Schizosaccharomyces pombe: one gene and its partners. The protein of the gene in region 4 binds, or shares a complex with, the protein of the main gene of each other region. Each region holds a gene or a part of one and is shown on either strand. Other genes may lie near its edges. The genes, in order: lsm8, lsm1, lsm3 and lsm6.

Region 1 (4,480 bases), on a different chromosome or scaffold from region 4:
GAGATGTTTACAGTTGCTTGACGAGCATTGATCCTGCTGACGCGAGCTAAAACAATAGATCCGACATTAGGTAAAACGGCTGTCTCTTCAACTTTTCTTGGGTACGTTACAGAATTTTTCTCTGGATCAAAGATGCCAGTTCGTGTGGAAATAATATAATCTCCTCTCTTTACCGTTCCTTCACCGTTAGGAGCCCCTCTCGCGACCACCTGTCCAGGGAGAACCAAATTCATATTTAACGGCTTTAATAAACTAAAAATAAAGGAATCAAGTCCGTTTTGTATGGCTGTAAAAAATTAATTGAAAAAAAGTTGCTGTAAGCACAAAGGTCGTTGTAAACTGTAGGTTACAATGTAACCTAAAGTCACTGCTGCAGAAATTTCAGTTTATTTTGCTAAATTGAGAAAATGAAATTGCAAAGGCATTTAATTATCAAACAGTTTTTCTGCTCTTCTTTCAACAAAAATTTTTTCTTGATAATCCCAAAGCTTGGAAAGTAAGTTCACAAAACGATGCCAAAATAAAAAATCACTAAAAAAAAAATATGAGCAGCAAATATAATAAATCATTTTTTTTGTTTAACTCAAATGATCTTTGTAAATTGGACCATGATGCTGAAATATTTCTCAAGGTAGAGAAATTTTCCAGTGTAAACATTAAGCGTGACAGCAAAAATGAAGAATGTTATGCACAGTAAATGATATAAATTGTGATGTTTTTTTCCATATAATAACAAAAATCAATGATAAATATAAAGTCTTTAAACAAGTTGACCACAAATTTCAAAATCAAAGTGCATAAATCAAATTAAGGAAACAAAGGTATGTTAACGTTCCCAAGAATCATTTAAGAAAGATGAAACCCACAAAATAAGAAGAAAAATGAGTTTGTGATCCACAAATTTAACAAGAAACCAAGAATTTTTTAAATTCTGAAAGAACCGATGTCCTCGAACTCGGTATTTTAAACCATTTTTTTAAGTATTTTCGTTCAAGTGTCAACTCTTTGTCATCAGAATTAATCTACAACCTCAGTCATATTTTTTTAAAAAAATAAAGAAAGAATTTTCACTTCTTTCTACGAGCTAATAGCTTCCTGATAAAAGACATGCTGCAAGGTATGAATATATCGTGGAAAGCTTAACAAAATTTGCAAAGGATTCGCCCGCACAAAGAGGAAATATAACAAAAAAATCATTAACCCAAATCCTATGTAGCCTTAAACGTTTGTTCTCATTTGAAGTTTAACGTCCGGTTTTTGTATTAATGCACAACGTCAGGTATTGCTTCACCTCGAATTTTGGTCCATTCTATTTCTGAATCTAATTCCTCATTCACTAATCCAACCATTGCTCTAAAAATAACTATTAGATTATTGATTTACGTACCGCCAGTACAAGGCTCTGCGTCCACTTACACATTTTCTCCACGTAATAAATAAACGCCTAAAGGAATTGTTTCCATGTCTTGATCCATGCTAATAATTCTTTCAAATGAGTCTGAAAGTATAAGATTGGTCGTGTGATCGAATCCCTTCAGGGAACCTAGCACAACGCGACCATCGTTTGTAATGACTTGAACCCTTTCTAACGAACATCTATATTAGTCACTTCATTCTCTATTGAAAATTTGACACTTACGTTCCATAAAATCAGCAAGACTCATGATAAAGTGATTTAAGTATTAGTTGTATTACAGTATGGTAGTGCTAAACAAAAGTAGGTAGTCTTACAGCATGTATTTCAAGTGACATGATACTTTTTATAAAACATACAGCAAAAACAAAAAAATCAAGAATTTTAATAAACTAATCAAATTGAAAACACCTTTTTGTCTTAAAATTTTGAAGCTAACTTTGCTATCAATATAAGAAGTAACCCAATTATATTTTTAGTTTGGAAAGGAACACAATCTTGTGTCAAAAGAAAATTAAAGTAATTTGTGAAGCGCACGATTTTTAAATGATCTTTTGTTTTATTAATCAACGAAATTTATTTTGTAAAATAGATCTATTAAAGGAAAAGGTATTGAACATTATTCCAGCTATATCCGGCTCACGAATCCTTCCTCATCATTACAAGCAACCGTTCTTCTAACTAAAAATACCCGTTGTAAACAAATATACAAATCTTATGGACGTGGGGAATATAGATGTATATATTTGACTACAGTTATATTCTTGAATTACTTCATTTGATAGTTGTTGAGTTTAAATCATTGAAGGATAATTCTTCTTTTGAAGGTTTGCTTAAATAATTTGGAAGAAATAAGTATTTAAGAATTCCGTTTTATAAGAATTTTTTCACAACTTTAGATTGTTATCGATGTGCCTTACTATCTTAGTTTTTGAATGAAAAATTAATGACGGCTCGAATATAAAGGGGACGGTCTTCGCTCTTTATTCAGCAAAGAACGTATGGAATAGAAAGAATTTGTACTAAATGTGTCACCATAAGTGCGAAGCTTTAGGGTTTTTACATTATAAGACAAGTTAGATTTTTGTTTTAAAGGTGGCATTTAGAATATAGACAGATGAAGTTAAAGGGCGCAGCTCGTTTTCCTTGGCACTTTTTTACACTCATCTCAGTACTTGTATTATCTTCTCAAAGCAGCTTGGTAGTACAATTTTCTTGGATATTATCCCTATCTGATAAAATAAAGTTTCGCTAATAATTAAGCGAAGACTTACAACTTTGACGAAGCAGCACACAGAACTAAACCAGTAGATCATAGTGACTATAAAAGCAAATCTACTTAAAGAGGCTGAGAAATTGCCATCGTGAGTTTATTTATTTTCAGCTATATTCTTCAATGTAAATTTAAGTATTTATTGAGAAAAATTTAAGAAAGTTAAGTTGTTCGTTATAACGTACAGCAGCTACGAAAGGATATTTATACTACTGTCTCGCAAATAAACATTCTAGCAACTCATTAACATCATAACTTGTGTTGGAATAGTAGACAACTATGATGAATAAAATAAAATAAAAAGGGCAAGTTAGAAATCAGAAATTTATGCTTAATGTTTCATTTGGATTTTCGTTATTTCCAATGTATTCTGAATATACTCATACTTAAACACATATTGTTATATGTTATATTTGTTACATCAGGGGGATCGATATATCATATACTCCACAGTATAGCTAATTTATTTGTAACCCTTTTTGAAGAAATATTTATTTGGTATTGAGAATTAAATTAAATTTAAAGATTTACTATATCATAGCCTATTTACTCAATCTGTTCAAATGTTGCTTTCGCAAACATATTTTTATCAGTCACAATATAATGAAATACACATTTGATTTAAAACAATTTCAAAAAAAAAAAAAGGATGTTGATTAGAATGAAAGAAAAAAAATAAGATTTATATATTTTCAAAACAAAAAAGGTGTAGATATCAATAATAAGAAGACTTAAAATTCTAATAGATCTCGTAACGATCAGTTATTTTAAATTTATAAAATTAAACCACAGTGTATTGTTTTAGAATATATGAATTTAATACTTTCGCTCAACGATTTCTTGATCGATCAACTAAATATGTAATAATATTAATTAAAAAAAAATAAAAAAAATTTGAGATTTTTTCTTTCCTCTTGCTATGAATCACGAAATTTTCTGTATGAACAGAATAGCAATCAACTGGCTTCTCAGACACTTCATAAAACTCGAAATTGTGTCTTCAGGGTTATCGGAATAAATATTATGATTCATAAGCTCTATTGTTAGCTTAAAATTGAATTTGTTATTAATCTAACATATTTGTAAATGGGTTTATGAAGTATTTGAATTTGAGATCTTATTATTACGAATTTAAAATCCAAAGATAATTAAGAAATTAATCAATGGCTTATAAAGTATAGAAAATTAAAGACTAAATTATCAAAGCATTTTTATTTTTAATTTTTTTTAGCGCTCTCATTTAAGACAAACTTTTACTAATACTCCAATTATGAATGATGGTTATTTTGCATACTTATTAAATGATGTACATATTTTTATAAATTAATAAGTCTAATAGAAGATAATTAATTACCTCTTTCCATCTCTTGGTCTTCCTTATTGAGCTAGCACATTACCTCATTCTCTTCAACTACGATTTACTAACTACTCAGGTTGAAAGGGTTTTTTGAACATTGTTCGTAAAAGGAAATTTTAAAAATATTTTGAGACAGCATTTTTGTGTTTCTCAATTATTAAGATTAATAATAAGCATCACGAAACTTTGAGGTGTTAGCTTACATTAACAATTCTGGGGTTCTAATCCTTATAATAATTTGGGCTGGCCTATATCAAATTGTCTAATTTGAAGATTTAAATTCTTTAAATAATTTTATTTTTACTTTCTCCCTCGTTTTAAGTATGAAAATTGTTGTTTTAGGTGGTTCAGGCTTTTTAGGGCATAATATTTGCAAATTAGCCATTGCTAAGGGTTACGAGGTGGTTTCAGTATCCCGAAGAGGAGCTGGAGGATT
Region 2 (5,132 bases), on a different chromosome or scaffold from region 4:
ACCTTTTCTCTTAGATTGAAATCCCAACGTTCAATAGATTGCTAACTTTGTATGCTTAGAATGGTATCAGACTTCTTCTTTCCTCAACCTGGGGGGATTGAAAGCCATATTTTTCAGCTTTCTCAAAGATTGATTGATTTAGGGCATAAAGTAATTGGTATGCGTTTAGCCTTATGATAATGTCAACTTGTACATGCTCTAACATGCATTATATTAGTTATCACACATGCTTATAAGGATCGAGTTGGCGTCAGATACTTAACTAATGGGCTAACCGTTTACTACGTGCCGTTACATGTAAGTTTTTAATTGAAATTTTGATCGCGCATAGCGTTGAAACTAAACAATGCAGACTGTGTATCGTGAAACAACATTTCCTTCCTTTTTTTCCTTTTTTCCAATTTTCCGCAATATAGTCATTAGAGAAAATATCGAAATAGTCCACGGTCATGGCAGTTTATCCTTTCTATGCCATGATGCTATTCTGCATGCTCGTACAATGGGCTTGAAAACTTGTTTTACCGACCACTCTTTGTTTGGTTTTGCAGATGCTGGCAGCATCGTTACAAATAAGTTATTAAAATTTACGATGAGCGATGTAAATCATGTTATTTGTGTCTCTCACACTTGGTAAGTATCTCATGAGCAAGTATTTAAATTATTAACTAAGAAGCCGCGAAAATACGGTGCTTCGTGCAGTTCTAAATCCAAAAAGAGTATCCGTGATTCCCAATGCCTTAGTAGCGGAAAACTTTCAGCCAGACCCATCTAAAGCTTCAAAAGATTTCTGTGAGTTTTTTCGTTTATTAAGGAAAAAATCTAACATTTTTAGTAACCATAGTAGTAATCTCAAGGCTTTACTATAACAAAGGCATTGATCTTTTAATCGCAGTTATACCCAGAATTTGTGCGCAACACCCTAAAGTACGATTTGTTATTGCTGGCGACGGACCCAAGTCAATCGATTTGGAACAAATGCGAGAAAAGTATATGTTACAGGATCGCGTTGAAATGCTTGGTTCTGTAAGACATGATCAAGTTCGTGATGTGATGGTCAGGGGTCATATTTATTTACATCCTAGTTTGACCGAAGCTTTCGGCACTGTTTTAGTTGAAGCCGCAAGCTGTGGTCTTTATGTGATTTCTACAAAAGTGGGAGGTGTTCCTGAAGTCTTGCCTTCCCACATGACACGATTCGCCCGTCCTGAAGAGGATGATTTAGCTGATACACTTTCGAGTGTTATTACTGATTATCTTGACCATAAAATCAAAACCGAAACTTTCCATGAGGAGGTTAAGCAAATGTACTCGTGGATAGATGTCGCGGAAAGGACAGAAAAGGTTTACGACAGTATATGTTCAGAGAATAATCTTAGACTAATAGACCGTCTAAAGCTTTATTACGGATGTGGGCAATGGGCTGGTAAGCTATTTTGTTTACTCATAGCTATAGATTATCTTGTAATGGTTTTACTAGAATGGATTTGGCCAGCATCTGATATTGACCCAGCGGTTGACCGCGTATCCTCTACTTTCAAAATTTCTAAGCAGAACTTTGACGAATCTCTGGTATTAACGGACCCCAAAAAAAAGACAAAGATAAAAACTGCATGTTTAAAAGATGCACAATGATTACTAAACTTTGAACGAACGGTAATGGGATTATGACGATTCATGTCTTAAAAATTACATTACATCCATTTAAAAGGGGAATAAACAGCGGTCGAGATAGCTTTCTATCGTGACTGTAAACAAACGGTATAGCAATATTGTGATAAATTTGTTCAACCGTTGTCTAATACAAATCATCATGTCCGCCGTCAACACTAAAGCCTACAGAATGAAGGTACTTGCCCTTCTCACGTATATTTTTCTTCTTCTCTTCTTCATGAAGCTTCGCCAAAGGATACAGTTCTTCAGCAGGCATACGTCGCAATTGTTTGACTGCATCATACTCCTTATCCAAATCCTTTTCGAAATATTTAGCCCACGTTCAAAGAAATTTATAAAGATGCTCGAATATTTTATGTTACAAACGAAACTTACCAATTCACCTAAAAGCACGACGTTCTCGCCCCGAACAATATACACACCTCTGTCTATGTCCCCGTACATATCATCCACATAGATCCTCTCAATCGTGTATTGCAACATTAAATTTGCTACACAGTTAGTAAACTCACTTATGCGCCTATTCACGCAAACCATACCAAATTGATCAAAGGACCTTAAAATTCCAATCAGTTTTTTTCCATCTCGTAAAACAACAATCACTTTTCCTAAAAGGTAAAGTTAGATCAAGGAAAACATTGGAAAAAACACCGTACTGTCTACGTAGTCAACAAGTGACCCAGAAGTTGTGAATGGGATAATCTGTGTAGCTTGATTCATTCAGCTATTATTTGGATGTAGCATAAACTAATAATTTAATTTAGATTTAACTTTCTATTTCTTTTATAAACGCCTGATGACTTTATTTGAGTGTTTTCCTTAAAAAACGAGTTCGAGGAGATGGTTAGAAGCAAGTGCTCTGAGGTCGTCAAATCTGGAATCCTAAATTCTCCCTGTTTAACCCTAAAAGTGCTTCTGAAGTTTAAATGTTATTCGTTTGTTATGTTTTTTTGCTAATTGTAAATTAAATTATTTGGTTTTTCCATTTCTAAACTTGCCCATCATTGAATGTTGTAATCTGACTTTCTAGTTATAAAGGGAAGTCGGTCTTCACAAAAATTAAAGAACAAAAACATGTATATTTTTGATCACAGATTGTAAAAAGGGAATCTAATTATACTCAAGCTACCTAACAATTTTTCAGCATCATAAGCGGATTAGTTCATTGAAAGGCTCAACATTTTGCGAAGAACAGAAATAAATAATTTGATGATTTTTATCAATTCCAAAATCGAACTTGTAAAAATGTTGCCAATCCCATTTGTAATATCCCTATTCTGAGCTATTTCGACTGAGAAGAGATTGCCTATTATTCTCTTAGAACGTTCATTGAACGTTTTTGGAGTGTTCTGAAAAAAGATAATAAATTTAGTTGTTTTTATCTATTAATTACAATCAAAAATCGAGCCTTTAATAATGTATTGTATGGTTATCAAAAAGCTTTATTTATTTCTAACAACGCTAAAAAACTTTTTTTTTTACTCATTTAATATAAACAAAACAGTACAACTATTTAGTTTTAAGAAATTTGATAGCATTTCTACAAATGTTTCAACTCTAAGGCTCTCTCGGATTCTGCTCATAACGCACAGATAGTGTTTAGTGAAAATTGACAGAAATAGGCGACTCAGTGAATTTATTATACATTAATTAGCTAAAAAGAAGCAACCGCCTTTCTCTGTGATTATCGTTTGGTGACCATAGGATGATATTTGGATTGGATTTATAAAAGACTTGTATACAGCGTTTGTAAAAGATCTAGCGGCTGGAAAATCAATATGAATCAAGATAAATCGAAAGAAACTTCCGAATTGGATGATCTGGCGCTTCCTCGATCGATCATTATGCGATTAGTCAAAGGTGTCTTACCTGAAAAGAGTCTTGTACAAAAAGAAGCTCTCAAGGCTATGATCAATTCAGCAACTCTTTTTGTTAGTTTTCTAACATCCGCGTATGTAATCTATATAACTATATAACCATATTGAAGGGCTTGTATGATGAAAGAATTTATTATATAATTGCCAATTTTATTTTCTTCTGGAAACACTTTGTATATGAATGAATAAAGACTAACGTTACTTAGTTCTGGGGAAATTGCTACGAATAATAACAGAAAAATTCTTATGCCTCAAGACGTTTTGAATGCGCTCGATGAAATTGAGTATCCAGAATTCTCTAAAACGTTAAAAAAACATCTCGAAGGTATGTTTCTTACTCTGTACTTCTTCTAACTATTAAAGCATATGAGCTTGCCTTGAAAGAAAAACGATTGAAACTCCCTAACGTATCAGATGTTGATAACAGAAAGAAAGCCAAAATAGACGCGCATGACACTACTCCTCTAGATGAAGAAAAAGACGAATTAGAAGAAGAACGAATTGCGGAGGATATAGCACAAAATGAAGTTGAGCAAAATATTGATGATGTGGAGGACCTCGAAGAAGTGAATGATACATTAGACGCAAACGCAGAATCTCCTCAAATAGAAACCATTCATCTTACAGATGCTACGGGAAACCCAATTGAAGATAGCTCTGAATCCGACTCAGAAGAATCTCTTCAACTTAATGATTCTTCGTAATTACTGTTGGTTAAATGTATATGAAGATTGTCAATAGTCCTAACTTACATGGAGAGCTAATCATATTTTTTTACACGAAAAACTAAACCTTCTTTATTTTTTAATGGATTTTTTGGATACCTGTTAATACCCCAATTTACATCCTTGTATCCAAACATAGCTTTTTTAAACAGCAGTTTGAGATAATGTCTTTCTAGCACAACATGTATACTCGTTTAATGACATATATTTAGAAAGAATCATTAGATTGTTTACAGTTGTAACTCAATATTAGTCAATCTAGAATTTTTTTGAAAATCAACATTCAATAGGGAGAAGGTCGAAAAGAAAAGAAAAAGTTCATTCTCGAATTAAACAAATGCATTTTATTTTCCATCAGATTAACTTATGTCAACAATTGTAAATTCAAAAGTCTGTCGCCTTTACCTTCGCACACTTTCTCTACGTAAAAATTATAAGAATGCGAATTCTAAGTTGGAATGTGAACGGTATACAGAATCCATTCAATTATTTTCCATGGAATAAAAAAAATTCCTACAAAGAGATATTTCAAGAGTTACAGGCTGATGTAATATGTGTTCAAGAATTGAAAATGCAGAAAGACAGCTTTCCTCAACAATATGCAGTTGTTGAGGGATTCGACAGTTATTTTACATTTCCTAAGATCAGAAAAGGCTATAGTGGGGTTGGATTTTATGTAAAAAAAGATGTTGCTATTCCAGTGAAAGCAGAAGAGGGAATTACTGGCATCCTGCCAGTACGAGGACAAAAATATTCATATTCAGAAGCACCGGAGCATGAAAAGATAGGATTTTTCCCAAAAGACATTGACAGAAAAACTGCTAATTGGATTGATAGTGAAGGAAGGTGTATATTATTA
Region 3 (5,356 bases), on a different chromosome or scaffold from region 4:
GAAACGCAGCAGCACAAAATCTACGCATTAACAAGTAAAATTTGTCTGTTCGTAAAATATCAATTCCCGTCCATTCACGACCCATAGTTTCCCAAAAAGTAGATTGAAATAATATTCTATTGTCTATCCAGACAATTGGAACCAACGCGGCTAAATTATCTGAGAGTTTCTGTTGGTATAAGGGTTTATCAGCCATCCACATGCCTGCATATTAAAAAACAATTAGATGATTTACATTCATAACCCAAAAAAATTCATACAGTAAAATAAGCCCTTCCAAAGCTTGAGAAAGTCTAACCTTTCAAATTTTTTCTTTTGGCTTAAAAACCGCTGCAACGATTCAAGAGCCTTATCACGAGTTTTTCGATCTTACAGTGTTAGTACATTAATCATTTATATGTAAGAAATTTACCATTAGCTGCAAGTTTCTTAATAAACGGCGACGGAGCCGACATTGTTGGTTTATTGACAAAGTGTTGAAGCAGTTCTTAGCATCGTTCCTTCCATACTGCGTTTTAGTGCACTAATTGGAGAGTTGATAAATGTCCCTTTCTAATATATGAAATAAGGAGTTTCCCAGTCAATATGTATTATTTTTTTTAGAATTGACCGTTTATGTAGATTAATTGATCATAAGGTTAATGTACTACTATGGTTCGCTTACACTTCTATTACAAATGCCGGTTTTCTTAGTCATTCTTATATATAAGTCTTTAACCGTTCCATTGATCAACAAATGTTCTTTTTCTTCTTCCTTGCATGCCTTTGAAAAGGAGATCCTTTGAAAGATCTTTTCCTGTTGGATAGACAATCGGAGGATGAAAAAATTTTAAGAAAGCTTTAAACAAAAAAAGGCAAAAGATAATAATTTAACAAACAGTCGGCAGGGGTTCTTGATTATACAAAAAAAGTGCATGACTGCGAATGCTCAAATCTACTAATGAAGCAAATGAATAAATGTGAGAAAGGGTTTATCTGACAGAGAATGAACTGACTACAACAAGGGGATTTGGGGGATAAAGAAGGAAGCTATATTTTCGAATGAGAAAGGTATTCAAAATATTACTAATGGGTATTGAACTGTAAGCGAAAAAGTCAGTAGAGAGCTCAAACACCGAAATTGGAAACGTAATTATACAAATGTACTAAGAAAAGGATGCAGATATTTCCTTACAAAACTCAACATGTAACCCATCCAAGAAAGTAAAGGAGGCTGCACGGAATCATCAATAGACATAACAAAGTTTTAAGGACATATTAGGAAAGCGGGATTTTTGATGAACATATATCAAGTTCTGATGTAATATGGGAACTACTTATTTATCTTTAACAATCGGTTCGTAGGGGAATCGTTGGTCGCCATAATATAGCTCTCGAATATTTTTAACGTTGGCAAGATACCCTGCAAAATGTGGATTTGTGTAGTAGCGTATGTCTTTCTTTGAAACTGGAAGGGGAGGGCGAGGAGGTGTACGAAAACTTGAAGGATGCAAATGGGCACGTAGCGCCAACGGGCTGAAATATACTGTTGTTATACTGCCGCCTGCATTTTTGATTTGTTGTATAGCTTGAACTGTAGCCTTAGAAACTTCTATGGAAATTGCTGTTTTAAGGAGTCCAGGTTCGTCAGCAGTAAGTTCAACTCCATGTTTAATACCTCTACAGCATCTACTATCGAGGAGGTCTTTCATAGTAATTGTCTTGCTAGCATCCAATCTACCACGATCAATCCATTCCTGAACTCTCCCTAACCCCAGACGCAACGGTTTCTTCAAATGTCCCGTACTGTGACCAACTTTAGGAAATAATTTGGTGATAGGAGTTTGACCACCTTCAAAACCAGGTTTAATTCTCCGTCCACGCCTTTGACCAGATCCTTTATGACCACGTCCAGAGGTTTTTCCTAAACCGCTCGCAGGGCCTCTACCCACTCGCTTCTTTGACTGATAATTTGCACTGTTGTTTAAATCATTCAACATACTGATGCCGCGGAAACTAGCACCAAATCTTGGATAACCAGAGGATCTCAAAAAACCATGAAATGAAGAACTGCGACAAACCCGAGATAAAATATTAAACATTTTCCAATTCAAAAAACGGGTTTCGTCGAGTTTAGATGGTAATAAGTCCAAGGCTGCTGTTTACTATTACAAAAGATTCGGACACACACGAATACGTAAAATTCTATAGCGTCTCATAAAAATATCTTTATTACTATATTCAGCATCGCTGCACTGCGCAATTCGAATTTGTTTCCTCCTTTATTTCTTCCTGACATATGCCAGTGCATAATTGCAGCAACAGCGATCTTGCTTGGTAGATATAATAACCCTTTACTTTATAATGGAATCGGCACAGGCAGTAAGATTTATCAACAGTAACTCGGTAACTAATGTTTGTAGGTCGCGGAACCTCTTGATTTGGTGAGGCTTTCTTTGGATGAAATCGTTTATGTAAAATTACGGGGAGATAGAGAATTAAATGGCCGTCTTCATGTATGAAATTTTTTTAACGTTTCTTGAATATTTTTCTTATTCTGAATTGGTTATACTAACTCGATTGTAGGCCTATGATGAACATTTGGTATGAATCATATTCATAACTCGCATTTGGATGGATTACTTACACGTATTTTAGAATATGGTACTAGGAGATGCTGAAGAAATTGTAACTATTTTTGATGATGAAGAGACCGATAAGGACAAGGCCTTAAAAACGATTCGCAAACATTATGAGATGCTCTTTGTTCGTGGTACGTAGATTCTAAATATTACGCTCGAAAAGTTTGACCATGATTAAGCTTTCCTTTTCGAAACTGTTTTTCCTTTTTCGCCAAATGCTAATGAACTTTAGGTGATTCGGTTATTTTGATTGCTCCACCTCGTAATTAAAGGAACGAATAAAATTACTATACAAAGCTATCTACATATTTTTATCTCATTCTTTTGTTTAAAATTTTTCGCTTTAGAGGTGCTTCTTCGTACAATAGTAACGACTTTTGATTTGAGTATTCTATATTACAGAAAAGTTTGATTTTCCTTTATTCCGTTGGATGGATAGTTTTATCTTTCTTTAGTCACGCACCACTTCTTGTTATTCCTTACATCCTTTTACTTAATAAAAGCAAAAGACTCTTCGAAGTTAACCAACATTCACGAGACGCTGAGCTTTGTCATTGAGACTTTTCATTAATGGTTTTATTCTTTGTACTTGACAGGATAGTAAGCGATTTTTGCTTGCATGGTGGTTGCTCTTGCGATCTAGCAAAATCAGATTGACATTCCTTTAGAGATCAGAGACATAATACCATTCATTGTGCAAATAAAAAAAAACTATCAATTGCTTTCGATTTGGCGGTGTTGTTCACTAGTTCATCTAGTATTTTTTTATTATTAACAAGCGTATCATCATATATAGGCGTAGCGGTAAAATAGAACAAAATAAAATAAATTCTACAAATATTGATTGTATCCAAACACCCAGGACCATTTATTTCATGAAATGCTCGTGTCAATAGTATTCTCATAACGATGCGCACCGCTGAGACTTATTTCAAGGACAACACGAGCGCCAGAGACCTCTCCTCTGCCTACACGCTCCCTTCGTTATGAATTCAGCTAAAGCTACCTCTCTCCTCTTTCAAGGCTTTAGAAAAAATTGCTTGCGATTGAACCGCATTTCTTTCGCTTCAGGTTTGATTAACCGGTTCACCGTCCCAGCTCGAACTTATGCTGACGAAAAGGTATTTTTTTTTCATTCTTCATCTTTTTGATTACTTGTTAACTTTTTTAAGGTGTTCGTTAGAAAAAAGCCGCATGTCAATATTGGTACTATTGGTCATGTTGACCACGGTAAAACGACGTTGACGGCTGCTATTACTAAATGCCTTTCTGATCTTGGTCAAGCTAGTTTTATGGATTATAGTCAAATTGACAAGGCCCCCGAGGAAAAGGCACGTGGTATTACCATTTCATCTGCCCATGTTGAATACGAAACTGCTAATCGTCACTATGCCCATGTGGATTGTCCTGGTCACGCCGATTACATTAAGAATATGATTACTGGTGCTGCTACAATGGATGGCGCTATCATTGTTGTTTCTGCTACCGATGGTCAAATGCCTCAAACTCGTGAACATTTGCTTCTGGCTCGTCAAGTCGGTGTAAAGCAAATTGTTGTATACATCAATAAAGTCGATATGGTCGAGCCTGATATGATCGAGCTTGTCGAAATGGAAATGCGTGAGCTACTCTCCGAATACGGATTTGATGGTGACAATACTCCAATTGTTAGCGGCAGTGCTTTATGTGCCTTAGAGGGTCGTGAGCCTGAGATTGGTCTCAATAGTATTACTAAATTGATGGAAGCTGTTGATAGTTATATTACTCTTCCTGAAAGAAAAACGGATGTCCCTTTCTTGATGGCCATCGAGGACGTTTTTTCAATTTCAGGTCGCGGAACTGTAGTCACTGGCCGTGTCGAGCGCGGTACTTTAAAGAAGGGTGCTGAAATCGAAATCGTCGGTTATGGTAGCCATTTAAAGACTACCGTTACTGGAATTGAAATGTTCAAAAAGCAGCTTGATGCCGCCGTTGCCGGTGACAATTGTGGCCTTTTACTTCGTTCTATCAAGCGAGAGCAATTAAAACGTGGAATGATTGTCGCTCAACCAGGAACCGTTGCTCCTCATCAGAAATTCAAGGCATCATTCTATATTTTGACAAAAGAGGAAGGAGGTCGTCGTACCGGTTTCGTTGACAAGTATCGTCCCCAACTGTACAGTCGTACTTCCGACGTTACTGTCGAACTTACCCACCCTGATCCTAACGACTCAGACAAAATGGTTATGCCTGGAGACAATGTCGAGATGATCTGTACGCTTATTCACCCCATTGTCATCGAAAAAGGACAACGCTTCACAGTTCGTGAGGGTGGAAGCACTGTAGGCACAGCTTTGGTTACTGAACTTTTGGATTAGTGCATTTATGAACTTATTGGCTTTAAAAATTTTGCATGCTGAATACCAATATTATGTCCCTTCTCAGAATTCTATAACTACAGTGTCATTATTGTAATAAGACTTTTGCATCCATTGACAATGGTATTTGATACTTTTATAGTTTCTACTATTGTTAGCCAAAGTTATAAAACAAATAATAAAATAACGTTGAATCAATACTTTCACTCCGAATTTTAAGGATGGCTATTCAATTTACTAAACAAGAGCTAAATATAATGTTTTGTAGAACGAACCTATTAACTATATTACTACCGTTTTAAACAAACGCAACGGCGGGTCGAAAGACATAGTGAGACTAAGAGAAAGATATTAAAACTTAAAAGGGGGGAATTTGTA
Region 4 (4,947 bases):
CAAGTGAATTTTGCTCACCATATCACCTTTCTTGTTTTTTCGCTTCTTTTGTTTTATCGTTTTGCTGCCGAGGTGAATTACATCTGTTTGCAATCATGGGAAGGAAATGTCGCAAGCTTCTCTTAAAGGGAATACCTATATGCGGCGTTATTTTGTTGATCCTCTGGGGCTATTCCCTTTATAACACATTGAGATTTATGGTACCAGGGAAAGCGACTGAACCTTTTACCTTAAGTTTATCGGATGTATCAGATGATACTAGTGCTCCAGGAGAAATGGAAAAAATACCAAGAGTGATTCACCAGCTTTGGAAGGATGAAAATATTCCAGAGAGATGGTCTAATACTGTTAACTCTTGCAGGCGCCAACATCCTGATGAAAACGGCTGGCAGTTCATTTTATGGACAGATGAAAAAATTATGTCTTTTATGAACGAAAATTATTCCTGGTTTATGCCTGTTTTCCACAGCTATCCTTATAATATCCAGAAATTTGATGCTGCACGTTACTTTATTCTCTATCATTACGGCGGCGTATACATGGATTTGGATATTGGGTGTAAAAAACCCATGGATCCTCTTCTAAGCAAAGCTACTTTTATATTGCCTTCGACGGAACCCATTGGGTATAGCAATGATTGGTTTGCTGCTACACCAAAGCATCCATTTCTGTATCAGGCGATACATAACTTGTCAAAGTTTAACCACCGTTATTTCACTAAATATCCCACGGTGTTTCTCAGTGCAGGACCTTTATTCCTATCTTATCAATTTTGTAAATACTTACTTACGCCGCATGAACCAGTGCGCGTCTTACCTGCTTTACTTTATGGAAACGGACCTAATTCATTTTTTTCACATGTTACTGGTGATAGCTGGCATGGCACTGATGCTAAAGTATTTATTTGGATAGACCGAAATTCAAAATCTGTCTTATTTTTTGCTTTTTTGGCTGCGTTCGCTATCCTTTTCTTATGTCTAAGAGTTGTCTTTAAACGGAGAAGGAAACGTGGAATTGCGGCTTCTCACTCACAAATACAGGAGCTATATCCCTAGTCCCTTCGTTTCTATAGATGGGCTAAATGGGTGATTTGGCTATTGAAGAAATTCAAAGGTAAAAGAAGTGTATATTATAGTTTCATTTGATGACAACTTGAAAAAAAAAAATGATGCCAAAGTCATCGTCTCTGTGTTTGTTTAACGAAAACGGTTTTTTTTAAAGGGCTATAAATTACATTTACTTCTAAATGATACATCAATATCTACAAATATATATCCTTCATTGAACTCTGGCTCTTCTTTTCAACATTAGCATAAGAACTTATTATGTATACACGTGTTTGTATTTTTTAACGATAATTTGTATTTTATGCAAATTACTTTAACCAATCTTGTACCATAATCGTATATCGTATTGAAGGGCTAGAAATCGTCTCTAATCATCTAAAGCAGAAACATATAAGACTGTTGGACGGTAGTTAGGAAATCAAAGCACTTTAATATAAATACCATACCATTGTTTCCACGAATAAATGCATCTCCATAAACATTCGTCTTCTTGCCATTAACGTATTCTTCTGTGCGTTCAAGGGCCAAGTTCATATAACCATCAAGACAACTGAGGATTCCTAAAAAACAGGTTTAGTATTAACAAACCCTAAATAACGGAAAAAAAGTTAAAGCGATAGAAACAAATTGCAAACTTGCATTGTCTCCGACGCAATTCATGTTAAATACCTTTATAGTCGACACCAGAACTTAACCGGATAAGAACTTTTTTGCCGATGACCTTATTCAAAAACTCATTAGGAGAAGAATCCATTATCTTCCAGTTGGTTTAGAGAATTCAGCCTTTGAAGGGTTTTCTGTGAGTCGTAAATTGAAGTAGACACCAACTACATTGGTAACCTCAGTTCAGGGTGCTCTTGCATATAATGAAGAATAGCATTATGTGCAAAAATGTATACCGTGCAAGACTACACTACTTTAATATACACTTCGTTGCGTATCACTATATGTGATATGTTGGAATATCAGTTGAGATCTGGTTATTAATAATTATGGGTAACTATCCGCTAACTAAATAAATTTTATTAAAAACACCCTTTAGAACAATTATAAATAGAGGTACAGCTGAATCTCGTTCCTCAGTTTAGTTAAAGCTATATTAATGATAGGTAACAATAGATCGTACATAAAATATTATATATGTCCTCGGTTGCTACTTGTATTACCTGCTTTTTGCAATATTGCAATATAATAGATCATAAAGCTCATTGCAGTTCTACACATCGTTAAAATTAAATAACAAACTGCGTAGTTAGTATTTATGTGTGTTAAAGTATTGTGACACGTTCTGCTAACACTTTCAAGTTTACTACTTGCATTGAACATTGCTTGTCTTCTCTAAATTATTTGTACATAATAATCCATCCGAGCTTTGTGCTTTACATTAAGAGCAGCTTCACTACTTCTTCTTTTAAAACTTTGCTTCGATGGTTGCTAAACAAGAATCGGTGGTTGCACCTCAAGTTGATGTGTCAAAATGGAGTGGGAAGGAATTGGAGTTGGGCAAAAAGGTTAATGAATACGCCAAGTCATTAGCTACGTTTAAATATCCTTTTTTTATTCCACCTCCCTATCCTCCTGCTAAGCCAAATATGGCCTTGTCTACCCAAGTTAATAAGATGAAGCAAACTGCAAACGAGGCATTTAAACGCAAAAAGTATGAGGAGGCAAAAAAGTTATATGGATTAGCATTACAACTCGCTTTGAATCGCTGTACTTGGGAACCGTCGATTCTTACGCGTGAAGAAGCAAGTGTTATGTTGTGTAATCGGGCGGCTGCTGAGATTGCCCTTTCCCAATTCCCCGAAGCTTTAGCAGATGCAAATGCTGCTTTGAAAATTCGAAATAATTATGGAAAGTGTTATTATAGGAAAGCAAAGGCTTTGGAGGCAATGCATCGCATAGAAGAGGCTAAACAGGTTGTACGAGACGGTTTAATTTTGGCAGAGCCAGTTACGAGAAACGAGTTGGTGGCTTTATGGGCAAGTTATACTGAAAAAGATTAAAACCAACTGTATCATGGTTTCAAATGATCATTGGATTTGCACGCTCCTTTTATTTCCTTTCTTTGTGTTGTTTCATATTACCATAAACACTTACGGCCACATAATTAATCCATTTCAAAATTAATACTAACTTGATATTATTGCCAATTCATTTAATGCTCAGGTGATTGTAGCAATTACTGTATACAAAAGACCATCCCCTAGCACATCATAAATACGGTGGTTTTGAACATGAATCTAAGTTTCGATTGTCATTTGTTACCCTATAGTCAAACAACAATGTTATAACTTTCCAAAGGATTTATTGAGTAAAACGGTAACTTTTTTGCTTGAAAGTTAGTTACCATCTAAGTCACCCTTCTTTGCCTTATAGCAAAAGTATTATACAATGCAAAATTTTATTATTTTCTGTACTTCCACTATAATAAAAAAACACCTTTAATCCCGTATTCCCATAAGAAGTTTCTGAAAATTTGTTGGTACTTTATTTGGATATCTCAATGTCGCTTTGACGTCCAAAACAATTATAAGCAGTGGAGATATCGAACATCACGAACTTCAGTAGTTGTTTCTTCTATATATACCGTCCTTCTTTTTTTTTAAAAAAACACACACACATTTTTTTGAAAATAAACAACGCTGTACTTTTCTCTAATTTCTAGCGCGTCCACGTCGAGGTTTAGGGAACTCTAGGGGAATTTTTAATACTGCACGCTTATGATTTTTAGCATCAGTTTTGTTAAGACCTAAAGCCATTCTTTGAGTTTCGGTGTAAGCCATAATTCGACAACCCACCGTTCTAAAAAGCTCATTAGCCTTCATGGTCTTGACATTCAAGTCATTTGCCAAGGTAAGAACATCAGTTGAGTAATTATCAACGATTAAGCACAATACCAGAATATAACATATGATTTTATCAACTTCTCGAGATGATACTTGGACGCTACCAATACCGGTGGTTTGAGTAAAACGTTTAATCAACCCATCAATAAGAATCTCTGGTGGATCAGCCAATTTTTTACGTAAAGTTTCACGGTTGCCCACAGAACGACGAGAAAACAAAAAAGCTTGCAAAAGAGAAATGTAATACAAAATTCTCGCCCGCTTCTGGTCAACCTCCTCAATGGAAAGTAATCGCTGGAAGCGTTCATTAATAAACAAGGAGTGACGGTACGGCAATAATTTGGCCCAATTGCGCTCGTCAGGGTTTTCTAACAGAGGCTTAATGTAAATAGCTGAAAACTCTTCTTTGGGAATAATGTCCTCCAATTTGTATGCATCTTCAATGGATTCAGCACCGACATTGACAGGAGGAATAGGGCGATCTTGCGCTTGAGCAGCAGCGATATCTTCTTGCGTTGGAAGTGCTTCAGTAGCTTTTTGAACATTACTAACCAATTGATCCTTGACATCTCCCAAAGTTTCAGCTTTGACACGATTGGCGGACTCTTCCATAATAGCTTTTTGACTTTTTCTTGTACCAAATGCCAAACCCAAGTTGGCACGCTGTTCCATAACAGTACCGCTTACAGTTCCATGCTTCTTTTTCAAAAATTTGTCCTTCTCCTGAAGTGCCAAAATATTTCTTTCAAAAGTATTAAGATACTTTGCTGGAACAATCTTTTTTACACGACCAGTTTTATCAGCAACAGCTAAACAGTAATTTGCCTCAACCGTAGCCGTTGATTGATTTTTAGCCTCAAATTGAACACGCTCTGTCCTTCCAATTAACGACGCATCTCTGTTGCTCTGATTGCTCTTTTTGAGAAGCTGGAACCGGGTATTTTCGGGTGGATAAAATCCGGAAATTGTCGTGACAAGTGGTGGTAAACTCGATTCACTCAAAGGCAATATCTTAACGGATTTTTCATCAC

Evidence for each region.
Region 1: lsm6 (region 4) and lsm8 share a complex: the UniProt entries of both Schizosaccharomyces pombe proteins name them as parts of the heptameric LSM2-LSM8 complex.
Region 2: lsm6 (region 4) and lsm1 share a complex: the UniProt entries of both Schizosaccharomyces pombe proteins name them as parts of the heptameric LSM1-LSM7 complex.
Region 3: lsm6 (region 4) and lsm3 share a complex: the UniProt entries of both Schizosaccharomyces pombe proteins name them as parts of the heptameric LSM2-LSM8 complex.

Annotation. Positions count from the first base shown.
Region 1 is NC_003421.2:2,275,086-2,279,565, reverse strand, and holds lsm8 (U6 snRNP-associated protein Lsm8), read right to left. Parts: upstream 1,689-4,480; 5' UTR 1,665-1,688; coding exon 1,640-1,664; intron 1,586-1,639; coding exon 1,417-1,585; intron 1,354-1,416; coding exon 1,263-1,353; downstream 1-1,262. Other genes in the region: exosome subunit Csl4, read right to left, coding at 1-233; ubiquinone biosynthesis protein Coq11, read left to right, coding at 4,368-4,480. UniProt on the Schizosaccharomyces pombe protein: Component of the nuclear LSM2-LSM8 complex, which is involved in spliceosome assembly. The LSM2-LSM8 complex plays a role in the biogenesis of the spliceosomal U4/U6-U5 tri-snRNP complex by accelerating prp24-mediated annealing of U4/U6 di-snRNA.
Region 2 is NC_003423.3:1,282,694-1,287,825, forward strand, and holds lsm1 (mRNA-decapping complex subunit Lsm1), read right to left. Parts: upstream 2,524-5,132; 5' UTR 2,392-2,523; coding exon 2,328-2,391; intron 2,280-2,327; coding exon 2,211-2,279; intron 2,163-2,210; coding exon 2,047-2,162; intron 1,970-2,046; coding exon 1,796-1,969; 3' UTR 1,645-1,795; downstream 1-1,644. Other genes in the region: pig-A family phosphatidylinositol N-acetylglucosaminyltransferase subunit Gpi3, read left to right, coding at 61-157, 218-297, 353-630, 674-789, 833-1,632; DNA polymerase epsilon subunit Dpb4, read left to right, coding at 3,450-3,622, 3,755-3,873, 3,912-4,252; AP-endonuclease Apn2, read left to right, coding at 4,713-5,132. UniProt on the Schizosaccharomyces pombe protein: Component of the cytoplasmic LSM1-LSM7 complex which is involved in mRNA degradation by activating the decapping step. The LSM1-LSM7 complex loads onto the 3'-end of single stranded RNA.
Region 3 is NC_003423.3:1,819,661-1,825,016, reverse strand, and holds lsm3 (U6 snRNP-associated protein Lsm3), read left to right. Parts: upstream 1-2,288; 5' UTR 2,289-2,343; coding exon 2,344-2,361; exon of another isoform or gene 2,362-2,402; coding exon 2,403-2,495; exon of another isoform or gene 2,496-2,502; intron 2,503-2,521; exon of another isoform or gene 2,522-2,565; coding exon 2,566-2,583; exon of another isoform or gene 2,584-2,637; coding exon 2,638-2,752; exon of another isoform or gene 2,753-2,809; intron 2,810-2,853; coding exon 2,854-2,891; 3' UTR 2,892-3,557; downstream 3,558-5,356. Other genes in the region: Nop52 family nucleolar protein, read right to left, coding at 1-204, 261-368, 413-455; mrpl10 (mitochondrial 54S ribosomal protein uL15m), read right to left, coding at 1,317-2,081; translation elongation factor EF-Tu Tuf1, read left to right, coding at 3,608-3,742, 3,794-4,978. UniProt on the Schizosaccharomyces pombe protein: Component of LSm protein complexes, which are involved in RNA processing and may function in a chaperone-like manner. Component of the cytoplasmic LSM1-LSM7 complex which is involved in mRNA degradation by activating the decapping step.
Region 4 is NC_003424.3:3,922,259-3,927,205, forward strand, and holds lsm6 (U6 snRNP-associated protein Lsm6), read right to left. Parts: upstream 1,869-4,947; 5' UTR 1,822-1,868; coding exon 1,737-1,821; intron 1,628-1,736; coding exon 1,514-1,627; intron 1,464-1,513; coding exon 1,435-1,463; 3' UTR 1,328-1,434; downstream 1-1,327. Other genes in the region: inositol phosphorylceramide mannosyltransferase activity Imt1, read left to right, coding at 96-1,055; sec67 (translocation subcomplex subunit Sec72), read left to right, coding at 2,495-3,073; DNA-directed RNA polymerase I complex subunit Rpa49, read right to left, coding at 3,725-4,947. UniProt on the Schizosaccharomyces pombe protein: Component of LSm protein complexes, which are involved in RNA processing and may function in a chaperone-like manner. Component of the cytoplasmic LSM1-LSM7 complex which is involved in mRNA degradation by activating the decapping step.